7 linked regions of the Mus musculus genome follow. The protein of the gene in region 1 purifies or fractionates together with the protein of each later gene. This does not show direct contact. Links are inferred from orthologs where the notes say so. Each region holds a gene or a part of one and is shown in the gene's direction. Other genes may lie near its edges. The genes, in order: Kpna1, Tcerg1, Mta3, Adnp, Rbm45, Anp32e and Ncbp1.

What was found.
Region 2: the proteins of Kpna1 (region 1) and Tcerg1 purify together in Homo sapiens (co-immunoprecipitation; 3 studies listed by BioGRID and IntAct, with this or other methods). This does not show direct contact. The link is inferred for Mus musculus from reciprocal best matches to the Homo sapiens genes KPNA1 and TCERG1.
Region 3: the proteins of Kpna1 (region 1) and Mta3 purify together in Homo sapiens (affinity purification with mass spectrometry; 3 studies listed by BioGRID and IntAct, with this or other methods). This does not show direct contact. The link is inferred for Mus musculus from reciprocal best matches to the Homo sapiens genes KPNA1 and MTA3.
Region 4: the proteins of Kpna1 (region 1) and Adnp purify together in Homo sapiens (co-immunoprecipitation; 3 studies listed by BioGRID and IntAct, with this or other methods). This does not show direct contact. The link is inferred for Mus musculus from reciprocal best matches to the Homo sapiens genes KPNA1 and ADNP.
Region 5: the proteins of Kpna1 (region 1) and Rbm45 purify together in Homo sapiens (co-immunoprecipitation; 3 studies listed by BioGRID and IntAct, with this or other methods). This does not show direct contact. The link is inferred for Mus musculus from reciprocal best matches to the Homo sapiens genes KPNA1 and RBM45.
Region 6: the proteins of Kpna1 (region 1) and Anp32e purify together in Homo sapiens (affinity purification with mass spectrometry; 4 studies listed by BioGRID and IntAct, with this or other methods). This does not show direct contact. The link is inferred for Mus musculus from reciprocal best matches to the Homo sapiens genes KPNA1 and ANP32E.
Region 7: the proteins of Kpna1 (region 1) and Ncbp1 purify together in Homo sapiens (co-immunoprecipitation; 3 studies listed by BioGRID and IntAct, with this or other methods). This does not show direct contact. The link is inferred for Mus musculus from reciprocal best matches to the Homo sapiens genes KPNA1 and NCBP1.

The regions. Positions count from the first base shown.
Region 1 is NC_000082.6:36,021,363-36,024,862, forward strand, and holds part of Kpna1 (importin subunit alpha-5), read left to right. Parts: intron 1-122; coding exon 123-286; intron 287-1,812; coding exon 1,813-1,891; intron 1,892-3,500. UniProt on the Homo sapiens protein: Functions in nuclear protein import as an adapter protein for nuclear receptor KPNB1. Binds specifically and directly to substrates containing either a simple or bipartite NLS motif.
Region 2 is NC_000084.6:42,573,386-42,576,285, forward strand, and holds the end of Tcerg1 (transcription elongation regulator 1), read left to right. Parts: intron 1-774; exon of another isoform or gene 775-868; intron 869-1,132; coding exon 1,133-1,334; 3' UTR 1,335-2,400; downstream 2,401-2,900. UniProt on the Homo sapiens protein: Transcription factor that binds RNA polymerase II and inhibits the elongation of transcripts from target promoters. Regulates transcription elongation in a TATA box-dependent manner.
Region 3 is NC_000083.6:83,786,184-83,789,683, forward strand, and holds part of Mta3 (metastasis-associated protein MTA3), read left to right. Parts: intron 1-2,734; coding exon of another isoform or gene 2,735-2,737; coding exon 2,738-2,859; intron 2,860-3,500. UniProt on the Homo sapiens protein: Acts as a component of the histone deacetylase NuRD complex which participates in the remodeling of chromatin.
Region 4 is NC_000068.7:168,204,313-168,208,250, reverse strand, and holds the start of Adnp (activity-dependent neuroprotector homeobox protein), read left to right. Parts: upstream 1-1,138; 5' UTR 1,139-1,677; intron 1,678-3,476; exon of another isoform or gene 3,477-3,651; intron 3,652-3,938.
Region 5 is NC_000068.7:76,376,484-76,379,983, forward strand, and holds part of Rbm45 (RNA-binding protein 45), read left to right. Parts: coding exon 1-21; intron 22-1,897; coding exon 1,898-2,027; intron 2,028-2,194; coding exon 2,195-2,279; intron 2,280-2,434; coding exon 2,435-2,598; intron 2,599-3,500. UniProt on the Homo sapiens protein: RNA-binding protein with binding specificity for poly(C). May play an important role in neural development.
Region 6 is NC_000069.6:95,935,757-95,939,256, forward strand, and holds part of Anp32e (acidic leucine-rich nuclear phosphoprotein 32 family member E), read left to right. Parts: intron 1-1,267; coding exon 1,268-1,439; intron 1,440-2,125; coding exon 2,126-2,283; intron 2,284-3,500. UniProt on the Homo sapiens protein: Histone chaperone that specifically mediates the genome-wide removal of histone H2A.Z/H2AZ1 from the nucleosome: removes H2A.Z/H2AZ1 from its normal sites of deposition, especially from enhancer and insulator regions.
Region 7 is NC_000070.6:46,166,011-46,169,510, forward strand, and holds part of Ncbp1 (nuclear cap-binding protein subunit 1), read left to right. Parts: intron 1-727; coding exon 728-830; intron 831-1,291; coding exon 1,292-1,385; intron 1,386-2,440; coding exon 2,441-2,544; intron 2,545-3,118; coding exon 3,119-3,233; intron 3,234-3,500. UniProt on the Homo sapiens protein: Component of the cap-binding complex (CBC), which binds cotranscriptionally to the 5'-cap of pre-mRNAs and is involved in various processes such as pre-mRNA splicing, translation regulation, nonsense-mediated mRNA decay, RNA-mediated gene silencing (RNAi) by microRNAs (miRNAs) and mRNA export.

The DNA.
Region 1 (3,500 bases):
TTGACAGTGCCTAGCTAGAATTGTAAACCACTCCATAACTCACTCAGCGTCTGTCTGTCTGGTAGGCTTCATGAGTGTCTTAGCTCACTCCAGAAGTTGTAATCATCTTTTTTTCCCCCTAGGTTTCTCCCTGTCTGAATGTCCTTTCTTGGTTACTGTTTGTCAGTGACACTGATGTACTAGCTGATGCTTGCTGGGCTCTCTCATACCTGTCAGATGGACCCAATGATAAAATCCAAGCAGTCATCGATGCAGGAGTCTGCAGGAGGCTTGTGGAACTTCTGATGTAAGATGATCTTTAAGAAAGTGTCTCTTGCACTCCTAGGTTTTCCCTCCTGATGCCATGACTCAAAGTCTTAGAAGTGACCTTAGATGAGGAGAGGAAAGGGTTTAACTTTTCCCTCCAGGTCACAGTCTGTCACTGCGGGAAGCCAGACAAGTGACTAAGTACAGACTGGATGACTGCTGCTTACTGGCATGTCGGTCTTGCTGCTCAACTCATGCTCAGCCAGTTTACCTCTAGGGTTGATGCTGTTCACAGTGGACTGGGCCCTGCCCTCCTGATGATCAGTCATCAGCCAAGACTATCTATCTCACAGCCACAGCATGGTATACTCTGATCCAGGTGGCCCCTCAGTTGAGACTTAAAAATTAGCAGCTGATGCTAACTAGTACACTATATTTTTCCACATCCCTAGCACTCTGGTATTAGTTGATTATAAATCTTACTGATTTATTATGCATTGGCCATTTGCCTCTTGTTTATATTGATGCCATTTTTAGTTCCCTTTTGAGACCTAATGAAGACTGTATTCTTCTACCATTATTAGTCCTTGAGCAGAATGTTTTGAAAAGCGTTGTCTGTATGTTTCTGTTATTCCACTCACATTGGAAGGCCTAAGGCCAGGTACTAGAAATCAAAGGCATATTGTTATGATAAATCGCCATTTCTTACTTAAAAAACAGACTAGATCATATTTTTGTAATGCTTTTGGTGATAGCATGGAAGATTTACTCTTGGCATAAATAATTTAAGACTATATTAACCAAATCTTTAGCTAATACTTAGAAGAAAATGTAGCCATACTATGATGGTGAAATAGTAAAGTTATAAGCCACATGACATTAATTGATGTACAAAACAGTTTTGTATGTTATAGTGATCAAAGACTGATTGTAGACCAGCAGTGTAGTATTGTCACAAGTTAACAAAAAGAAAAAAAATCTGGGAAACATTTGTCATGCGTCATTTTAGTCATTAGATCTTAAATGTGAAACAAGAGAGTTTGGGTTGGTCTTGGAGGTACATGGGTGTCTGTCCTCAATATCTGTCTCCACATATACACAGCAGGCATTATGGAAAGCTTTCTTGACCATTAAGGCAGCCTGTTAGTTCAGTGGAAACAGTAAAGTATTTGAGATGGGAATCTCACTTGGGTTTTGAAGTTTGCTGAAGTGTAGAAATAGGTGCAGTGAATAAATGTTGCCTGTGCCTCCCCGGTCACCTCAGCAGCTCCAGACCAAGTAAGGGGGAGAGAGGTCCTGTAGCAAAGAGTAAAAGTGTGGAATTCAGTGCTAAAGTACCTGGTAAAGATTACTAGAAAAGAATTTTAAAAATAAGGAGAATGATTGCTTTTTAAGGTGATGGTCAGTTCTGCTGCCGTGGTGGATTCCCTAAATAGCCGTAATCATAAAGTGCCTTTCTGCTCTAAAATTGAATCACATCTTCCTTAATTTGACTTTCATCCCCAAAGAAAAGATTTTGGATAGAACTGTTGTCTCTAACATTTTTTTTTTCTTTTATGGTTGCAGGCATAATGACTATAAAGTAGTTTCTCCTGCTTTGCGGGCTGTGGGAAACATTGTCACAGGGGATGATATTCAGACACAGGTATGAACAAGTGGTAAGATTTCTGTAAAGTGAGTCCATTGACTTCACAAACATAGTTCTGTTATTGAATTTTGTATTGTCAAGCATCCCCACTGACACAGTGTTTAATATTCTCAGTATCTACAAGTCCTGTGACTTGTAGCAATTGTAGGTTCTCTTATGAAAAAAAAAAAGTTTTTTTTTTTCCTAAGCCAGTTTTCTTTCTGCTTTTATTTGTAGCACATCCTAGAAGCACCAAATGGGATTTCTAGTAGTATATATGCTTTCTGGTAGTGCCCTCCTTTTGTATATGCTAAGGTTTTTGTAAGAAAGACTCTTTCCTCATAGTTCCCAGTGTCCATTCTACTTTTAGTAACAAGACAGGCCATCCACAGTAACCTTCCGTGTTCTCCTTTGTTGTGGGCGTGTTCTAAGGAGCAGTTCTTCAGCCTCATTCCTGGGTTCTGTAACTTCAGTCATCACCCTTATGTACATGGGCTATAAGAATCAGAATTAGGTTTTAGCTGTATCAATCAGCTTCAACTTCAATTTTCTAATCTCTAAAAGGAACGCAATTAGATTTGTGTTCTCAGATGTTATAGTTACAGTGTTTTTAATTTGAGCTTATCCTATCTACAAGGGAACTCATTTCCCCCCTCTTTATCTTTATCTGTTTTAGTTTCCAGTCTCAGTATTTGGCTTTAACAGTTGCCCATGCCAGTAATGCAGGTACTAGCTTGATTCTACTCTTCATTCACTCTTTTGCTAGATCTATCATTGGTACTCTATCATTGCTCATCCCTTGCATTGTGTAGTGTAGATGTCTTAGACAAGGCAAAGGAAATATATATTTGATTGTACTTGTATAAAATTTCTCTGGGACAATACATAGGAAATGGTTATCTTTGATGATCTCAGAGGATAACTGGGTTGTTGGAATACAGGAAACGAAAGGAAGGGAAAGGAATCTTACCTAGGCAGTCCTTATACATTTTTAAATTTTTAAAATTTATTTTTTTTTAAACATTTTTAAAAATACTGTATGTCTGTATATTATGTGCATGTGCATACTTGTGCCATAGCTCCTGGGTGGACATCTTTGTTGGGTTAGTTTTATTCTTTCATTAAAATGAGTTTTAGGGATCAAACCCAGGTTTGCAGATTTTTGTGGCAAATGACTCTATGCACTGATACATCTCGCCAGCTCATATCTTGGATTTTTTAACCACGTTAATGTATTTACTTTGGGTTGGGGTTGGGGCAAGTTTGTAGGGCTTAGATACAGCTCAGTGATAGACTTACTTGACCAGTGTGTATGCAGTCCTGAGTCCAAGTCCTAGCCTCACACAACAGAATGCTCTCACTGTCTCCCCGTGGCACCCATGGTCTTTGTTCTTGCCCTATTTGTTCACTGCAGTTTGCCTGACTGCTTTTAGCTCTGAGGTTAACACATGGATTTTTTTTTTTTTCTTTCATCCCCTATCTTTGCCCTGGCTACTGCTTTCCCCATAACTATAACCTTACTCTTGTTGCTAATGATTCTTTATTCTTTGTGCTTTTTATATTAGCATTGTATTCTTTGGAAGAGTGCCTCAGATTCCATTACAGGTGGTTGTGAGCTACTGTGTGG
Region 2 (2,900 bases), on another chromosome or scaffold:
GCAGCTGCTGTCTCCTAGCCTGTACTCTAATGGCCAGAGCATACTTTTCACTCACACACATGTTGACAGTGTTCATTTTAGGAGTCAGAAGATGCCAGCTTTCCTCACGGGCAGATACAGGCCATTCCACAGTACTTTTTATTTTTTTAAAGAAAGGGCCCAGATGTCAATTCACATTTTGTGTTATGTACATCCAGTTTTTAAAATACACTTTTATTTTTACTTCACTGCTTTTTTTTTTCTTTTTTGAGGACCCTCAACTCTTTAAGAATTGTAATTCACAAAGAGACTTTAAATTAATTTTCACTATAACAACTTATCTTTGCCTCCTCTGAAGACTGCTGAGTGGGGTTAGACCATGAATGCCTGAACTCATCTTCTTAAGGCAGAAACATAATTTTCCTCCAACAGGAAAGGAGTTGCTGGATACACTTATTTTTTAAAAAGATTAAAAAGCAGAGCCTTTAAAAAAGGTTTTGGTGTTGCACACCCAGTGGTCCATCACCACTAGTAACCTTTCACCAGGAAACGTTTTTGGCATGGCCTACAGTCTGTGTGCAGGAGAGCAGTTAGGCTTCATGCGCCAGCATTTCCTCCTTTAGAAGACAGCTTTGACGAAGGAGGAAGGGTGTGCCCGGGAGGATAGATAGTGCTGAGGGTGTGCTTCATAGGTGTTTTGTCATTTGGATTTTTTGGTCAGGATCCTTAATGTTTTGCATCAGCTTGGGCTTTTAAATTAGATGTGAAGTAAGACTTCTTTCTACATTTTTATAGTTAATTTAGTGAAAGATGTGAAAGTGAAAGCTTGTGAAAGATGCTGGGATTGGCAGCCCCGCAGACTGAAGTCCTCTGTTCATCCACAGAACAGGTACAGCACGGGCAAGATTTACCTACCCACCCTCAGCCCTGATCTGGAGGGACCACCAGTAGGGGTGGGAGGGTAATTCAGCTTCTGAGGCCCTTTCACTCCCTGGAGTCTTTGCTGAGGCGATTTACAAAGGTGACTGCTGCAGTGAAATTTTTCTTTAAAAAAGTGGAAACACAATTAGGAACTAGATGGACATTTCCGGCTCATTTCTGCAAGACCAGCGAACAGCAGTCAGTAATTCTTGTGCTTTTTCTCTTATTTCAGATCCAAAAAGTTAATCCAAGAATCTGATCAGCACCTGAAAGATGTAGAAAAGATTTTGCAGAATGACAAACGGTATCTAGTACTGGACTGTGTCCCCGAGGAGAGGAGGAAACTAATTGTGGCCTATGTTGATGACCTGGATCGCCGAGGTCCACCCCCACCTCCCACAGCATCAGAGCCCACTAGACGATCAACAAAATAATTCTAAATACCCTTCCACGGGCTCGCTGTTAATTGAAAATGCTTGCATGAGCCAGATTTTCAGGTTTTTACATATATGCATTAGTCAACCTATTGCAAAATCACCTGACGAACAGAAGGAGAAGCGGTTGTGGGCAGTCTCAGAACGGAACACTTTGAAAATAGTTAATGCTTTTCTTTGTGTGGCATGACTGACATACATACTCAAATATAGGCTGTCTCTAGTAAATTTAAAATCTCGAAGCTAAAAGTCATCCTTTTATAAGGTGTGGAAGCCAGTGACTTGGTGATGTTCTTACTAGCAGTGTTACTCAGCAAGACAGGAGAGTTTGTGGTAGGAGCTTGGAAATACCACAGACTCCAGGAAAACTGAAGTTGGAGTTTGTTTTTGATTTTGTTTTTTAAGCGGGTAAAAGAGAAAACACTGAATTGAATTCTTCCAGAGACTATGGTTATTATAATGGACGTACTTTTACCTTTGTCTCTAAAGAGCAGTTTAGTTGTATTTGTTCACGTATGTGCTTTGATTCTCCCCTCCGGAGTTATAGGCCAAGTCTTGTTTACCCCAGGAGAAGATGTATTTAGTAATTTCTTCTCAGGTATGAACCACATTCATAACTAACATGTTGGCCAGAGTGGAATCCTGGTTTAAACATTCTTTATTCTCCATTGAATGATCTCTACCAATATTCTCAATTAGACAACAAAACTCCCTTTCTGGGTGTTCCTGTAAACTACTCCTGTTTGAATGTTTGAACTTTTGTTTCTAAAAAGTTTAAGATGTTTGAATGTTGAATTTATGTATTTGAACTACAATAAACCAACCCTTTTATATATGTGGATTGTAAATGATTATTGTTACACAATATATTTTTTAAAAACTCGTAGACCTGTTTTTTATTTTTTCTTTGTTTGCTTTCTTGTTTGGGTCATTGTTTTTTTTTTTGTTTGTTTTGTTTTGTTTTGAAAAAAGCATGTGATATTTGAGACAACAAAATCTTAGAATATAGGTTTTAAAGGCTTGACTATAATGCTGTATTTCTAATATAAAAGACAAGAAATTTTGTAGAAAGCCTATTCTCCCTTTCTTTTGTGTGCCTGTATGTGTGTGTATGTTTATATGTGTGTCTAATCAGTCTTTTAATTCTACCTGTTAATTAATAGCAAGAATATTGTAGTTCTTTGTCTTTCTAGCATATCAAAGGTTTGCACCTTTTAGACGTCCTTTCTACCTGTCATATGTCATGCCGTGAACTTACTTACCTCTGACGCTCAGCCAAGTTTTTCTGGCTTTACACCCCTTCCCAGTGCCTGGGGTGTGAGTGTGTATAAATCCTATGTTGTTCTCACAGGTTGCCCTTAGCAAAGCACCACATAATAAGTAAGGCGTGTAGGAAGATCCCAATGTTAGTTATCTTCCCCATTGTCTCCCACCCTTTATGATGGCCACAGAGCCTAGAAAGAGGAATACCAACTGACCAAACTGTATTTGTTACCTATAACATTCATATCCATACTACTTACTAGTATAAATCTATTAAGTGTCATAGAAATTACATGACATGTT
Region 3 (3,500 bases), on another chromosome or scaffold:
TAAATATTTTGTTATGCCCCCCCCCCAAAAAGAGTCTTTGAGGAAGTAAGTGTGAGTGCACATGGCTGCAGGCAGTTGCACTGAACAGCGAGTGGTGTCCTGAGCTGGGACAGGACCGAACACAATAGAGGAGCCTGGAGAAAAATGGTGTGCCTGGTGTGAAGAGAGTAGTCAGCCAGCCCCAGGGGCAGGGCAGTGCAGTATGGGTACCCATGATTTGAAGAATGGACAAATTTGAAAGAGGAGTCATGGTCTTGAAGATGACAGGTTTCATTTGGATCCAGGGAGCAGCAGGGCATATATGGGGAGACTGGCTATGGGTGCTCAGGAGGAGAGATGGCACCAGCTTGACCTAGGAAGAGCTTTGGAAGCGGTGCTGTTTGGGAGGTGACTGACCTCGGCTTGTCAAGGTTAGGTCCACAGTTAGGTGACTGTTCCTGCGAGTCACCAAGCTCAGAGAAGGTGGCGCAATATTAGGTGAGGCCACTGCGAGTTTGTTCCATCATAAAAGGAGTAAGGAATGTAAGTGCAGCATACACTGAACACACTGACCAGTACACAAAGCCACTGCATTGTGGGCACCAAGAAATGTTTATGAAAATATTCCGTGAAACTGTCCTTCCTCTAAAACACCCTCCCACGGTCTCTCACAACCTGGAACATTTTATACCTGTCATTATCCTCCCTGGACCTGCCTCAAGTTACTATTTACACATAATAATCAGAGTTGTGAACGGTTGTGAGCCACTGTGTGGGTGCTGGGAATCAAACCCAGGTCGTCTGCAAGAACAGCAAGTGCGCTTAACCACTGGGCCGTCTCTCCAGCCCAGCACTGGCCCTTCTTAGACTCAAATCTTTAGTCCTGCATTTAAATGCCAAGTTTCCACATTTCTGGGAAACGTTTCACTAGATTTAAGTGAGTAGGGGCATTGTTTGAGCCAGTCCATGGCAGAGTCCTTTTCAACTGGAAATGTTAACACCTCTTTGGGAACTTGAGTTTCTCTGAACTACTTCCTTTCTTTTCTTTTTTGAGACTCTCTCTCTCTCTCTCTCTCTCTCTCTCTCTCTCTCTCTTTCTTGCTCGCTCGCTCTCTCTCTCTCTCTCTCGCTCTCTCTCACTCTCTCCATAACCCTGGCTGTCCTAGAACTCACTTTGTAGACCAGGCTGTCCTTGAACTCACAGCGATGCCACTGCCACTGTCTGGAGGCTGTGATTAAAGGCTTACAGTGCCAGCCCCGCTTCTCTTCTTTTTGTTCCAAAAATACTAAACAAACAACAAAACCTGTTTCGTTTGTTTGTTTGTTTGTTTGTTTGTGAATGTGTGTGTCCTGAGCTGGGGAGAGGGGTCTCACAGTGTAACAGAGATGAAAGGTTCACTAGCAGGAAGCTCTTCTGGGGCAGATCTTTGTTTCCTATGTAGTGAGTCTGTATTTCTGAATGGTGTGCACTGTGCATGCAGCTGTAGGCACAGCTCTAAGCAGGGGTTAGCCTACTGTCAGCTCTGTTTACATAGTAAGTGCCCTGACATGTGCAGCCTATGTGTTTAAAGAGTTAGAGCTGTGCTGGCCAGTCTGCATTCAGTTTTACCAGCGTCTCTGATGCGTTTGTACTTAGCCTCCTGACCTATGTCTTTTTTTCTCCTAAAAGTGTTTTCTTTTTTTTTTTCAAAGATTTATTTATTATTATACATAAGTACACTGTAGCTGACTTCAGACATACCAGCAGAGGGCATCAGATCCCATTACAGATGGTTGTGAGCCACCATGTGGTTGCTGGGATTTGAACTCAGGACCTTCCGAAGAGCAGTCAGTGTTCTTACCCGCTGAGCCATCTTGCCAGCCCCTGAAAGTGTTTTCTTAAAACAGAAGAGGGAAAAACAAATCTAAAACATGAACTCAAAAGCTTTCTCATCCAATTGCTAATCTGCCTCAGAAAACATAATGTGAATTTTTATCTCGAGCTTGGGACAGGTGCTCCTTGGCTGTGTGTGGCGGGTGGCCCTGCAAAGCTAGCCTCACCCCCTCGGGAGCACTGTAGCGGCCACAGCGTCATCCCAAGCAGGAGAGGAGCCAGGGCTCTTCCAGCCCCACAGCACTGCCCTTACCTTAACACCCAATCAAAGGCTGTCTTTGTCAGGAAAATGTCTGATGAAGATAAAGCCCAGGGGCTTCTGTCTTTCAAAAGTACAGCGAGCTGTGGAGAATTGGCACCGGTATGGTGTCCACAGGAGCCATGCCTTCGCCGCAGAGTGCCTGAGACAGGACTCTGGCTGTTTTATAGCTCTGTTTTGCAAAATGAGTGCCTTGGTTTTATTTTGTTTCTTTTTTCTTATCATTGCACCAAATATACCCTCTTATGTAAGTTCCTGGAATCATGTGTGCCAATGTATTTCGTTTTGTTTTGTTTTTTTTTTTCTTTTTCTTTTGGTTGTTGTTTGGTGTATGTGTTTGCGGTTGTTGTTATTTTTTTTTTTAGGTTAGTGTACAAAGTCCTGGGTCCATCCCAGCATCCTTGTTCGCACCTCCCACCATACTTCCTTTTCATTGTCTCCCTTCACTGCCTCCCATACTTGGGTGCATCTTCACACCCTGCTTTTCCCAGTCTCTGTCTTCCTCACTAAATGGATTAAGTATCTGTTCGTATTTCAGGGAAGGGAAATTAGTAAGGAGGTGCCTGCTTTTGACCTTGTCCTACAAATTGTTTTTATCATCTCACTTTACATTTCATTGAAAGCAGCAAACCAAATCCCAACCAAATCTCCAGCAGCAACGGCAAGGCTGGCACTGTGAATGGAGCTGTGGGGACCCAGTTTCAGCCCCAGAGCGCCCTCCTAGGGCGAGCCTGCGAGAGCTGCTACGGTAAGTCTGCTCAGGCCAGGCCTGGCTAAGTGTGGGAACTGTCCTCTGCTGTGGGGTGGGTTACTGAGAAGGTTCTAGAAAGCATGCCTGCTGCTCAGAGACAGGGCAGCGTCTCTTCAGTGAGCGGGTGTCCGCTCCCCCCCCACCCCCACCCCCACACACAAGCCCACGCTGGGATCAGTGGATATTGGCTGAGCGCTCTTGCTAAGGTGAGTGTGCATTGGCTCTGGTTTTCTTCTGTGGATCTATGCTTGCTGGCAGGGTTTGTTTGTTTGTTTGAACTGTATGCTGTTATATTCACTTTGTGCTGTGATACATACCAAATCCCCTCTTGGAGTTCCTCAATGTCCTCTGACAAATTAAATGTGTCTGCTACTTGTAGCGAAGAGGCAGGTGTGGGGATAAGAGCTTACAGCCCTCAAGCTCCCAGGGCACCAGGTGGGGAAAGGCCAGGTTATGATATTTGCTTTTGGCCTCGGGCCTTACTGTGCACACCTCTGCTTGCAGGGTTCTTATGTGTGCCCCTGTTGTATGGGGCTATGGAGATGGTCTGGCCCGCAGCCGATACATTGTATGTTTTAAATCTCAAACAACAGCAGAGGCTCTCCTCTCTGTCATTGTTGCTATGGGTCAGGTTCTTG
Region 4 (3,938 bases), on another chromosome or scaffold:
GATTAGGGGTTTAAATATATGTTCTAATAATTGCAAAAAATAAATGTTAGGTGGAAGTTTGTTCAACTTCCCAACCAAACCCTTAGACACTGAGCTGTCTGTATATATAGTCTGATTCTTTCAAAATTTGCAACTTTGTAGAGACCTCATGTTGGGGGAGGGGTGGCCAATCCTTCACAACTGCACTTGCTACTTTGTAGAGCTTTTAGCCATCCTTATCTACGGTAGGGTAACTACTGTTCCTTTAAAGTGGACCGAGGCTGTTGATGTTGACATGGTATGTTGGTTGGGGATGATCCAAAGTTACAAAGCCAACAGTGCAGGTGCTGTCACATACCAGAATTGTGGGTGAGTGCCAGACCGTTTTCATCCTTAGCCATTGACAATCCAATGGCCTCAACTCTACAAATCCCACTTTTTTTTTCCTTGAGTCAATGGTAAGTGGCCATCTGATGACTTGAAGGAATGACTTGAGTCCAAGGAACAGCAGAAGTGAAAAGCTGAGTCCCTGTCTATCCCATACCAGTTCACTAGAAGAGCTGACATGGCCTCAGAGCTGTGTCATCTCAAAAAATGGGAGGAACACGAGGGCATCACACCTCATTAAAGGCAGGAGGCAGCAGGCTCAACCCTTGGCTTTGCCTCCAGCTTGGGAGAGCTGACTCTGAGCACGTGGGCCTTGGGCAGCCCCAGGCGCCCTCCTGCCAGATGTAGTTCAGGCCCAGATGGGCCCGCGCAGGGATCCCCAGTGCAGCCACCTGACTGACTGTCGAGGCGTGCTGCGGCCCGCTACTTCTGCCTCCGCCGGCGGCGCTGCGGTCAGAGGAAGGCACCCAGGAGCGCAGTGCGGCCATTATCCACGGCGCCTCCTAGTGGGGCAATGGCAAAGCCTCCACGTTCTCGCGAGAGCTCCCCTCAGTGGGGATTATATAATCTCACCCAGGAGAGGCTGGGGGGGGCTGGGGCCACCCTGCCATAAGGAAAGTGGGTGTCGCCGCAGCCGAGGACCGAAGAGCTCTCCCTTGGGGGGGGGTCGCCGAGTAGGGGGTCCATGGCCCCCGCCCCCCCCCAGCTGGACAATGAGTCCTCTTATGCTAATGAGTCGCTTACGTCACTTCCGCTCTTTCTCGGCCGCCATTTTGGCTAGGGCAGGTTCGGGGACTTGCTCTGAGGCGCTTGTATTGTCTGCTGAGGGGAGACGCGGGACCAGCCCCCTCCCCCGCCCGCCGCCGCCGCCGCCACCCGTCCGGTCTACCCGCCGCCGCCGGGACCCATGAGCTGAGCGCCCGCCCGCCGCCATCTTGGCCCCCTCCCCCTCCAGCCGCGCTCGCTCGGGGGGGATTTGGCGTCGCCTCAGCCACAGCTCCCTCTCTCGGTCTCCGCCGCCGAGGAGCCGCGCGGCCGTCGCCGCCCGCCTGCCCGCCCGCGACGGTGAAGCCGCGGCCCCACGCCCTCCGCCGCCCTCCGCCCCTCCTTTGTCTGCACTGCCCGCGCCGCCGCCCGCCGCTCTGCTGCGCCCGCCGCGCCCCCCGGCAGCAGCCGCGGCCGCGGCTCGAGCCGGAGCCCGAGCGCGACGAGGCCCCGGGCGCGTCCTCGCCGCCATCGCCGTGCCGCCGTCCACCCGCCGCCGTGCTCTAGAGCACGCCGGCCCCGCGCACGCCTCGAGGCCGAGCCAAGGTAAGCCCCGCGGCCCTGCCCGCCGCCGATCCCGGGCGCGGTCATTGTGCTCGGCGTGCACACACCGCCTCGAACCCCAGTCGGCCGCAGCCCTCCTGCAGCCCGATCCCCTTCTCCGCCCCGCGGGGCTGCCGGCCGGCCACCATGGGCTTTTGCGGCTAGTGGCATCTTCCCGCACCCACCCCGCCCCCAGCCGAACCCCGCTCGCTCTCTCGTCCTCAGAACTAATCCCCTCCCGCCCTCCCCCAGTCCCCGGAACCAGCCTTCTGCCAGGTCTGCCCACCCTAGGCTTGGAAAGGGGGGAAAGGCCTGGGGGGCGGGGAGCGTGCATGGCAGAGGGTGAAAGTCTTTGCCTCCCCAACAACATGCCAGTTTCCCTCCCATCCTAACCACCACAGCCCCTCACCGGCCCTGCTTTCAATCTGGGCTACCTGGTCAGCACTCCCTCTTTAGAGCTTTCTGATCAACTTTGCAGTCAGAAAATGGAAATCCAGAAAGCCGCGGAAAGAATTTTTTTCGAATGCAATGAATGGGGAGTAGTTCTTTGAGCACCCTCTTATTCGCCTCTTCTTTCCTCTGAGCTGCCTGTCCTTCTCCTCCCTTCCCCACCCTACCCCCAACCTGGATGCCTGTCTGCTAGAAAAGGCGCGATTGCTTCTCTTCTTCTCTCCAAGAAGTCTAATACTCATTTTAGTCTCACTCCCTGCCACACACCCCAAGTGTCTTCTCAGTGTTCTTCCAGTCACCAGGTCCTCTGGACAGTTCTTGTCATAACCCCATTTCACAGACAAAGGCTTAGGAGGGAAAAAGAACCAAACTGTTTCCTGTGTTAGCCATTTTAATGCTGTCCAGCCCCAAACGCCCAGTTCCCATCCCTGATGCTTCTTGTGCCTGTATCTTGAACCTTCACAATGGGATGTGTGTCGGGGGGTGTCTCTTGGATAGCTTTGTGCAGTTTCTTTATAAATCTGCATTGTTGCTTCTGGTTTATGGTCATGGAGAAAATACCAGCCCCCACCCAAAAGGCACTGCAGCCAAGTCGGTTAAAGGCACTGAGTGTGGGAGTCAGTAGGGGGCGCATTCCCTGCACTGGGTAAGGCTGCAGAGGGGGGAAGGGCCCCAGAACTAGAACAGGATGTGCTAAACAGCGCCTTCTACAGACCATGGGAAAATGGGTCCAGCAAGACTTGCACTGGGTGAGCTGACAGCAACATGGCGAAGGATTAAGTGAGGCTAGAGAGATTTTATTTAAGAAAGCCACTTCTCCGTTTGGAAAGTTGTCTTTTTTTACTTTTTCAAACCTGTTCACCCTCAGACTTTGATTGCTGATCAGTCACCTTGGTGCACATCCTTGGGTCATAGGTTCCCTTTCTCAAGAATTCCTTCACCTTAAGGTTTGATGTGTTGACATCTCTTTCCTAGGCTAGGTGGTAAAGGGGGTTGTTTAAAACCTGAAAGTCACGGGCTTGGGAGATCAGGTCAATCCAAATCTCTCCGACTCTTTTGCGAGTGGAAAGTCATTCTTGAGAGGTTTTATGGGTTGGTGATTTTGACAGCCATGAAAGATGGGTGTCAGGATTTGCAAGGCTTTGTTGGTAAACATCAGGTCCCTATTGAGTTCTTCATTGTCAAACTTAATAGAGTTCACTGCAAAATTGTGTTGCCTTCCACTTTCAGCAGTACACTGTCTGTAGCCAACTGCCTTTGCAAGTGTTGACACCAGTCTTGGTTCGGTGCGCACCCACCTTTTTAGGGTGTGTGGATTTCTGTAGATTTTACTCCTGTTGTTATTTCCATAGGTGTGAGATGCACAGTACGAAACCTAGGCCCCAGCTTTTACATCGTGATGCACAGGGTTGCACTTTTTGTACTGAACTGATAGGTGGCCTAGTGGTTATTCCCTGTACTGCCATTTTGAGGATCTGGACTCCGTTCCCTGCCTTGCTCTTTGGACTGCATTGTCAATTCACACCGGTGGGTATATCATTTTGGAGGGTGGGGACTGCAGCATCAGGAAAGCTAGAGACTTCCTCCTGATCACCACCAGAACATGAACTTTCAAAATTTCAGCCTCGCCACATTCCTCAAGGAACTCGTTAGAGCTGGTTGCAGTAATGGGTTTTGAACGTTTAAAATATGTGTCTCTTTTAAGAGAAAAATTTAAAGTCGATGATGTTGTTGTAATCATTTGCATTCTGCACTTTTGGACATAAAGTTTTAAGTAGTCTATCTCAAGACTTGCTCAGCATCTGAAAGCCTTA
Region 5 (3,500 bases), on another chromosome or scaffold:
GAGATCCTTATTCAAATTACGGTAAAATGATGTTTTGCTGTTGTTAAGTTTGCAGTGCTCTGTGAAATCAGTTTTCATTCACACATGATACTTTCTTATGCTGTTTATGCTGCAGGAAGTTTATGTTTTCTTTTTCTAGGTGGTTTTTGTTGTTGTTTGTTTTAGTTCTTTTTGTTAACATACAGGTTTATTATTCAGTGAATTTTTTTTCTTTTTTCTTTTCTTTTTTTTTTTTTTTTTTTTTTTTAACCATGTGAAGCCAGAGTCTACTCTGGCCCAAAGATTTATTTTTTATTATACAGAAGTACACTGTAGCTGTCTTCAGAAGCACCAGAAGAGGTTGTCAGATCTCATATGGATGGTCATGAGCCACCATGTGGTTGCTGGGATTTGAACTCAGGACCTTTGGGAGAGCAGTCAGTGCTCTTATCCACTGAGCCATCTCGCCAGCCCCACAATGACATTTTTGTTAGGTATATCATGTACTTTAATCTCACTACCTTCTTCTGGCCCCTCCGTTTTTCCTATTTTATAGTTTAAAATCCAACAATACCTTAGTAAATAAACCCTCAAGAATGTTATCTTTTTTTATATAAAAATCATTCACCATAAAAGATATTTTAACTCTCACAAAATAAAGAATTCTCTATTTCCCATTGTAAAACAACAGTGCCTCAGGCTAGGGTCTGGTTTGGCTCTTTGAGTTGATGCATATAAAGTGTTTAAAGCGTCCTCCTCGTTGCATTTCCAGGTCTCTCTACCTCTCTGGCATCCTAAGTGTTCTGCACCTCTCCCTACATTCTCTGATTCGTGGTAGTTACAGTCAGGGCCCTTCCTCACAGCACGCCAGCGGGGGGTCTGGTCCAGGCGGGTCTCCAGCTGAGGCTCCTCCTTCCGGGCAGCCCTAGGTTACGTCAGACTGACAGTAAAACCTACTCAGTCCAGTAAAACCTACTCAGTCCGTGTGATTTACAGAGGCCAGCACTGTGTTTCTCACGACAGAGAAGTCATGAAAGCTTCTTGGTTGTGTCACAAGCCCCTGGGCTCCGGGATAAACCTCTCCCTGCCCCCGCACCGCCCGCTCAATTGACACCCAGCCCCAGAGCTGAAGTCTCTTCAAAGGAATGTGAAACGGGCAACGTTTCTGATTTTCATACAGACCACCCTCCTCCACGGTTGCAACTAGCTGACTATATCCGTGGACAAGTTCTCATTGTTTCCTGTTCAGTATAACAAGAAAAACTCTTAGCTTCAAAGAATTAAGATTTTGGTTTTTATGTATATGGCTATTATATAAGAAAACGTAAGCTGGGCCTGGTGCTAAGCGCCTGTAATCCCAGGACTCGATGGGAGACCGAAACAGTGGGATTACAAGTTTAAGGCCAATGGCCTGGTCTAGCAAGTTCCTGCTAAGAGAAGAATAAATATATATTTTAAATTCAACTCATTAGATAGAATATATACTGATACTACAATTTCTTAAAAATGTTTGTATTTTACAAAGATCTAACTTACATTTCATTGCCTACAAATAATGTTACATGCATGTTTAGCAGAACTTTGTTCTCTGTTATCTTTGATTTGTACTTACTGGTTGTGTGAGAAAAATGGAAGTCCTGTATTTTTCCACCTTTGAAATACATTGTAACTGGGGCTGGAGAGGAGGCTCCTTGGTTAAGAGCACTGGCTGCTCTTTCAATTCTCAGCACCCACCTGGCAGCTCACACCTGTCTGTAACTCCAGTGTCAGAGCTTCTGACACCTCACACAGACATACATGCAGGCAAAATGCCAATGCATGTAAAATTTAAAAACTAAAAAAGAGAAAGAAAGGAATACATTGTAACTTAGGCCTTAAGGATGCTGCCTTTTGCATGTCTGTATATTCTCTATTTTAGGTCATGGTGTGGTTCAGTATTTTAACGTAGCATCAGCTATTTATGCAAAATACAAACTGCATGGGTTCCAGTACCCTCCTGGGAATCGGATAGTCGTCTCTTTCCTGGATGACGGGAGTAATATGACAGAGTAAGTACCATTCCAGGGTGGCCCAAGTCAAACCGCGGGCCATGTGACTCTGGCTTGACGGATAAAAATAAACAGTTCACCTCAGGTGAGGAAGCCACAGCAAACAAATTATTGTTAAGATGCTGAGTATTTCTAGTTTCCCATAAACCGTCGGTTGTTGTTTCCAGACTCATCAGGAAAATGGCGACACAGATGGTGGCGGCCCAGCTCGCGTCGATGGTGTGGAGTACCACGAGTCAGCAGCAGTTTCTGGTAAGTGGGTAAGAATGTGTTGCGTCTGTACCGAGAACACTTTCAGAGCTGTAGTAAAAGACCACGTGGGTGCCGGAACACACCCTTAGCTCTTGTCCCCAAAGCGCTGAAGGGCTGCCTTCTTTTCTCTCCCTTTGTGCCGGACTCTTCTGCAGCAATATGGAGGAAATGCTGCCTCACAGGCGCCTCAAATCCAGACAGATGTTGTACTTCCGTCGTGCAAAAAGAAAGCGCCGCCTGAAACTCCAGTGAAAGAAAGGCTGTTTGTTGTGTTTAATCCCCATCCTTTGCCACTAGACGTGTTGGAGGATATATTCTGGTAAGGTTCTCAAAGCTACCCGTTGGTAGTTGTAAGCAAGTACACTCATTTAAACCAGTAACCACTATTCTCACACTCCCGCTGCTGCGCCGTGACCTGCTCTGAGTTCTAAAGACTTAACTGATCTTTTCTTTATGCTCATTTTCTTTTCTCCGTCAGACACACATCCTGACCTACACACGGAATTTCCCTGATTTCTTTTTTAAGACTTAAGATATACAGGAAGGTAGAGAATGGAAAAAGTCACTTGTCTCTTGAGAGAAGATTCATTTGCATAGACCTGTTGTTTTGACGTTATGTTTTCTCCATGTTATAATTCAGTGTTTACTAAACATCTTACATTTTACCCACACTTGGTTGGATCCTGAGGGTTATGACATGGAGGGCAAATCACTTAATTATAGGGGATAATATGTAGTAAGAATAAAGGCAAGAGGAGGGTCTTACCTATTTTTGTATCTTAATATAACTTTATATCTACCATAGCTATTTTTTAGACATTTGCCTTTTCCCCTCCCTCTAAGATTGTATATTAGTTAAACAAATAGGTAGCATGTAAAAGCGCCACACACAATGTCAGTCATGTACAGATGTGTCGACCTTATGTAACTGATTCATTTAGGTTTGGGTCTGGTGGTTTTGTTCTTGAACCACTGCGTCCCTCTGTGCTGGGCATGCACTGGGCTGGCATGCGAAGTGTGTTGTAAACAAAGCATTCTACCTCATGAACAGGACATTTGTTACACAGAGCAGCAGTGGAAGGTCCCACAGAAATTCTGAGATTTCTCTTTGAAGCAGGATGGGTCCTGAGACCTGAAGGATAAACCTAGTTTTGCCAGAGTAGGAGGTTGGGGGGTATGGCTTGGGTTTGGGTTTTTGTTTTTCTGGCTGGAAGGATATGA
Region 6 (3,500 bases), on another chromosome or scaffold:
AGTGTCTGAAGACAGCTACAGTGTACTTACATATATTAATAAAATAAATCTTTAAAAAAAAAAAAAGGAAAAACAAAACCCAAAAACAAAAACAACAAAACAAAACAAAAAAAAGAAATAAAAGTCCAGGCGATATTTGAATCAGTGACAAATATATTTAATGATTGGCTTTTATTTTCTTCAGGGCTTTATTCTGGTTTCAAGTTTTCAGTATTTTTTTTAAAGATTTATTTATTATATGTAAGTACATTGTAGCTGTCCTCAGACACTCCAGAAGAGGGCATCAGATTTCGTTATGGATGGTTGTGAGCCACCATGTGGTTGCTGGGATTTGAACTGGGGACGTTCGGAAGAGCAGTCGGTGCTCTTAACCACTGAGCCATCTCGCCAGCCCTCAGTATTTTTTTAACACCTTTTTTTTTCCCTATATTTTGAGGTAGTCTGTCTCCTTTTTTTCTTTTTCTTTTCTTTTTTTTTTTTTTTTTTCGAAACAAAGTTTCTCTGTATAGCCCCTGGCTGTCCTGGAACTCACTCTGTAGACCAGGCTGGCCTCGAACTCAGAAAATCCCCCTGCCTCTGTCTCCCGAGTGCTGGGATTAAAGGCATGCACCACCTCGCCCAGCTTATTTTCTGATAGGAAGGAAAAGATAAATAATACAAAACTGAAAATGGATATTCAGGTTTACAGTTTGTTTTATTAGTGCGTCCGTGCGTCTGTGCGTGTTGGTTTTCTGGGGCCCAGGGATTGAATCTACATTGCCAGGCATGGCCAGGCCTTGTCCGTGGGCTTATTGTGGTGGTACCTGCCTGTAATCTCAGCACTCTAGAGGCTAAAGCAACTGAGAATTCAAGGCCAGCTTGGGCTATGTAATGGGACGTTACCCTGTCTTTAAGAAGAAAAAGATGGGAGACTAAGTCTTGGTAGCCCAGGCTGGCCTCCCACTCGGACCTTCCTGCCCTGGCTGGGTTATGGTGTGTGCTGGCACACTTGGGGTGCTGTTGCCTATCTGCCCAGCTTCTGTCAGCAAAAATGCCTGGGGTGTCTGCAAGAAACTAAGTTGTAAGACATTTGCTGGGGACACAGCGGTGACCAACCAAAGTTTCTCCACGGGTGCTGCTGCCTGTGCCTGGGAGAGTGGCCTTACAAACCCTAAAAGTGCATAAACTTGTTCTTTAGCTTCAAGAATATGTTTTTCAGCTCTTTCATTAAAACTCAAGAACACAGTGTTTAAAATCTTGATTGTAACCTTTAACTTTACTTTTTCAGCAAAATCTTAAAAATTTGAAAAGTCTCGACTTGTTTAACTGTGAGATCACAAACCTGGAAGATTATAGAGAAAGTATTTTTGAACTGCTGCAGCAGATCACCTACCTGGACGGATTCGACCAGGAGGACAACGAAGCTCCCGACTCGGAGGAGGAGGATGACGACGACGAGGGTGAGGCTCTTAGTTTACTATTTACTTGTTTGGAGATAGGGTGTCTCTGTAGCTCTGGCTGTGCTGGAATTCACTGTGTAGACCAGGCTGACCCCAAACAGAGAGCCACCTGCCTCTGCCCACTTCGTGCTGGGATCAAAGGTGTTCACCACCATGCCTGGCAACCAGCAGGTTTTGAAGTGACCGCAAAGTAAAGCCAACTTCAGTGTGTATAATGTTTGAAAATGTATTTTGGAAGGGTCCTTTGCAGTGCTGGGATGGGGTCATCCTTGCACATGCTCGGTACGTGCTGACCTGGATCCCCAGTCCTAGTAAAGTACTTCTGGGTCACAGGTAACAGTGCTGTAAAATGGGTGGGTTTGCTTTGTTTCCTTTTATCGAGACAGGGTCTCCCTGTGTAGCCCTGGTTGTCCTGGAACTCTGTAGACCAGGCTGACCTCAAACTCAGTCCCACCCCCCCAACTCCAAGCCTCCCCCTCTGCCCCTCTGCCTCCCAGTGCTGGGATTAAAGGCACGCACTGCTATTGTCTGGCCAGAATTTGTTCTTTTAAGCCAAGTGTAGGGGCACTTGCCATGGTTGGTTTAAGATGAATGGGGGCCACGTGCCAGAAGGACGCAGTCCCTATGAGTACCAGGAGGAAGCGGTTGCCGGGATGCTTGCTCACCTTTGACAATGTTTTCTAAAGATGGAGATGAAGATGAGGAAGATGAGGACGAAGATGAAGCTGGCCCACCGGAAGGCTATGAAGAGGAGGAAGATGACGATGAGGATGAAGCTGGCTCAGAAGTGGGAGAGGGAGAAGAGGAGGTGGGCCTCTCATACTTAATGAAAGACGAAATTCAGGTGAATGGAAACTTGTTGTTCGCCCTGAAGACGGTTGGCCCAGGGCTAAGTGCTGTATGAGTAGGATGGGTTGTGAGTGGTTTCCTGATGCCTGGATGAGCATGGATAAGCATCTGTCTTTTTTTCTCCCTCCTACTGGGTGCTCCATATTATGTCCAGACAGCTGTAAATACTTGCTGATTTTCTTTCTTTTTTTTGTTTTAAAGCCCAAGGACAGTTTTATTTAAAAACTCTCAGGGCAGGTGATCTGTAAGTCTCAGTAGCTCCTAAGAGGAGAACAGAGGGGAGAACGGAAAAACCCAGTGCCGCGTAAACTGGCCTTGAGGTGAGACCAGTGGTCACAGGGTAGGGAGCTCGCGGTCTAGAGAGGAGGTGTGGAAGGCCACAGTGGTAGAAAAGCTGTATCTGGGCTCTGGCCGGCATCCAAAAAGAATGAGACGACAGGAAAAGTTGCCTTTTTTGACTTGGGTCTCAGAAAGGTGGGCAGACTCAGCCGAATCTCATGGCCACTCATGGGGACTGCCATTGCTTGCTCTTTTTCTCCTGAATTTCTGAATTGACTCTGCCTTCAGTGGCACAGGATGGAGGAAGCCTTTTCTGAATGTCTGAGCCTCTTTCTGCATCTGTATAAGCAAACTCCTGGAGTTGCTTTAACAAGGTGATGCACATAAAGCCCCTGGTTCTGGTTGGTGACAGTGCAGACACTCAGAGACTGTGATCTTTTCCCTTCAGTTAGCTCGTGACTCCTGCAGTAGCTTTTCTACCTTTTTAAATTAAAAGTTGTGTGTGCTCAGCTGGGTGTGGTGGCGCACGCCTTTAATCCCAGCACTCGGGAGACAGAGGCAGGCAGATTTCTGAGTTCGAGGCCAGCCTGGTCTACCTAGTGAGTTCCAGGACAGCCAGGGCCATGCAGAGAAATCCTGTCTCAAAAAAACAACATGCCTGTGAATGTGTGGCGTGTGAATGTAGTTGCCCGTGGGTGCCAGAAGAGGGTGCTCTGGAGCTGTACTTACAGGCGGGCACCAGTTTTGGAAGCTGAAATCCAGGTCCTCCGAAACAGTCTTGACCACGGGCTCGTGTGCCAGCCACCACCTGCATTCGCTTCCTAAGCAGTGTCCGCCTAGGTGGACTCTGCTCAGGGATTTCTTCCACCAAGCGCCCGTGTGGTGTGCAGATAGATCATTGCTCTCCTCGTGTGCTGTGATGTCTCCCTCTTG
Region 7 (3,500 bases), on another chromosome or scaffold:
AAAGAGCAGATGACTGGTCTGCAGAGACAGCCCTTTGCTTGGGAGTGCACTGAAGACGTGTTAGTCAGCTGTGGTAACAGGAGGTTTAGACTTGGCAGAAGTTGTAAGCTGTAGGTTTAAAGGTTTTGCTGGTTTTGCTTTAACATTTTGACATCTCGTAATCAGAATATGGAAGAGGGATGTGTGATGGTTTTAAGCAAACGGGTCATAAGCCAGGAGTGGTAGTGCAAGCCTGTTAATCCAACCAAGTTTGAGGTTCCTGGCCAACAACAGTGCATAGTGAGAGCCTGCCATAAAAACAACCCTGAGCTATATAGAAGAACTCTCCCATGAGAGAGAGTTAAGGGTCTGCTTTTTCACGAGGGATTGACATGAGGTCTTGCTATGTAGCCTTGGCTGGCCCAACTTAGTTTTATGTTGTCAATGTGTGAAATCAGGAGTGTGGTGTTGCTTTTACTAGAACATTATTATATGTTCATATGTTATTAGCAGTACAAGGTGTAGCACCAAAGAATTACTATAGTTAACTTGGGAGGGGGGGGGCGTTTTTTCGAGACAGGGTTTCTCTGTGTAGCCCTGGCTGTCCTGGAACTCACTCTGTAGACCAGGCTGGCCTCGAACTCAGAAATCTGCTTGTCTCTGCCTCCCAAGTGCTGGGATTATAGACATGCACCACCACTGCCCGACAGTTAACTTTTTTTAAATCTTACTATAAAATATTTTTCAGATGAAGGGTTCAGATTTAACCCTTTGAAAATAGAGGTCTTTGTCCAGACTCTGCTGCACTTAGCTGCCAAGTCCTTCAGTCACTCCTTCAGTGCTCTTGCAAAGTAAGTATATACATTTGAGCACCAGTGCTGTACTAACTTGCCTAAAGTTGTTAAATATGAAGATCTTCTTACATAGTTTGCTAGAGTGGGGTTTGGTTTGTGGTGGCTTCCTTGAGTGTGTGCAGTGTAGCTGTGCATGTGGTGGGTAAAGCAGTGCCAGCCTAGGTCCCGGGGACAGTCGTCTACACAGGCTGAGGGTCCGGCCTATCTTGACGCCTTTCCCAGGAGAGGAAGCAGCAACGAGAGCCTGCCCGAGGGTTGGCATGTAACGATAGCAAATCTGGTAAGAGTCCATGAGGAAAGAGCACTCTCCTAAGCTGATGAAGCTTCCTCGGGCGCAGTTCCAACACATGTGTGGGCTTAGGGATGACTCTTTGTCTTTTATTATGTGCTATATTTTAAATTCAGTGACACTAAAGGGGCTTCTGAGTAACTCTGGTACTTTGCACCTTTGTCTAAAGGTTTCATGAAGTCTTCAAAACTCTGGCGGAGAGTGATAAGGGGAAGCTGCACGTGCTGAGAGTCATGTTTGAAGTGTGGAGGAACCATCCACAGGTAACGCCTGCTCACTGGGACGTGGGCCTGGCTATGGAGATACACACGTATGACATTAGGTAGATTGGAGTCTGCCAGTAGTAGAATGTTTTTTAAGTCTGTACACTGGGTGTTATGGAAATACTTAACTGATACATTCTTCTTGGTAGATTTTTAAATTACACTGAGCTGTTGCTTAGGGGTGCATGGGAGGGTCACGGGGCCTATGCGAAGTCAGAGGACAAATTTCAGGTCTGTTCTCTCCTTCAACCATGGTGAGTCCTGGGTATTGAACCTGGCTTGTCCAACTTGCCATCGAGTGTCTTAGCCATTGAGTCATCTCGCCGGACCTTGGTAACATTCTTCAGGTGGCATTGGGATTGGTTTTGTGCTAAAGCAATTCCACACATATTAGATGCTGAGGAAGAAAATTGTTTGACCACAATATTTGGTAGGAAATAGTTGTCATGATTATCCATTTCTACAAACAAGACCCATAACATTTTTAAGTAGGGCCAGACATATATATATACTTTTTTTTCTTTTGTTTTTGTTTTTGTTTTTCGAGACAGGGTTTCTCTGTGTAGCCCTGGCTGTCCTGGAGCTCACTCTGTAGACCAGGCTGGCCTCGAATTCAGAAATCCGCCTGCATCTGCCTCCCGAGTGCTGGGATTAAAGGCGTGCACCACCACGCCCGGCTTATATATTTTTATAGAGGTATTATCAATGAAAGTTTTCTTAAAGAGTATGTGCTACCATTCAAGAGTTGTCTTTTCATGCAATCTTTATTATTAATATAGTTTTCTTATAATATTAGAGCATAGCAGAAGGCAGAATAAATCTAAAGGCTGACTAGTCTAATCAAGACTAATGGCAGCACTTGGGAAGTAATGGCAGGAAAATCAGGAGTTCAAGGCCAGCCCTAGCTATATGAAACCGTGTCTAGAAGAAAAAAAAGACGAGCTATGGCTTAAACTGGTCAATTCTCTTGCCATTGAAATCACATTTCATAGCCGCACTATTTCATTTCCTAGCATTGTTTACCACCGTGCCTGCTTGTCTCTTCCTTGTCGTAGATGATTGCTGTGCTGGTTGATAAGATGATTCGTACGCAGATTGTCGACTGTGCAGCAGTAGCAAACTGGATCTTCTCATCGGAGCTGTCTCGGGACTTTACGAGGTCTGAACCAGAACTGTATCACCAGTAACAGTGTGATGTTACACAGGCTTTATAGTGATCAGGACCAAAGAGCAAGGGCTAACATATTGTGAAAACAAATGAAATAAAATCTGTGACAGTCTTAACTTTTCCACTACACCCACTATTTGCAGAGCACACTTGTCAGAAATATACCGAGGCCTGAAGTGTCATATGATCAAAAGTTTTTACAGGGCCAACAAGATGGCTCAGAGGGTCAGGGGGCTTGCTGTCAAGCCTAATGGTCTGAGATCCCTGGGTTTGATCCTCAGAGCTCACATGGTAGGAGAACCAACTCTAATGTTGGTGTTTTATTAAGGGGTGGACAAGTACAGGTTATGGTCCTGCCCCCTGGGAGCCGCCTGCCTGACTAATGTGTGGAGACGGATGCTTCATAATTCACCGCAGGGCTGAACTAGTGTTGCTGGAAAAGACTGCTTCATTCTTCCCAGGGGACAGAAGGCCCCATCAGCCCCTAAGAATGATAGGCTGAAACTGTAGATATTTCCTCTGCAGTAGCATAACATACATTAACCAAATGCTGTATTACTTTAAGGTTGTTTGTGTGGGAAATTTTGCACTCTACAATTCGTAAGATGAACAAACATGTTCTGAAGATCCAGAAAGAGCTAGAAGAAGCTAAAGAGAAACTGGCGAGGCAGCACAAACGAGTAAGTCACCTGCCGACCTGAGGGCTCACAGGTTGGGACAGAATCTGCAGGGTAGTCCGAGCCATTGCCGTGACACTAGGCTTTTTCCAAGTTACATAAAACTGCCACATGCTATGGCACTGATGTTGACCACAAACTGTTCCCTAGTTTACCACCTCTAAGTGGCTTCCTAGAAGAAACTTGTATATCTCTAAGTCTGGCACAGAGGAGAAGAGACACAGTTGGAGAGGCTGAGGAGAGGTGGGACAAGTTAGTCTCCGTCCCGAC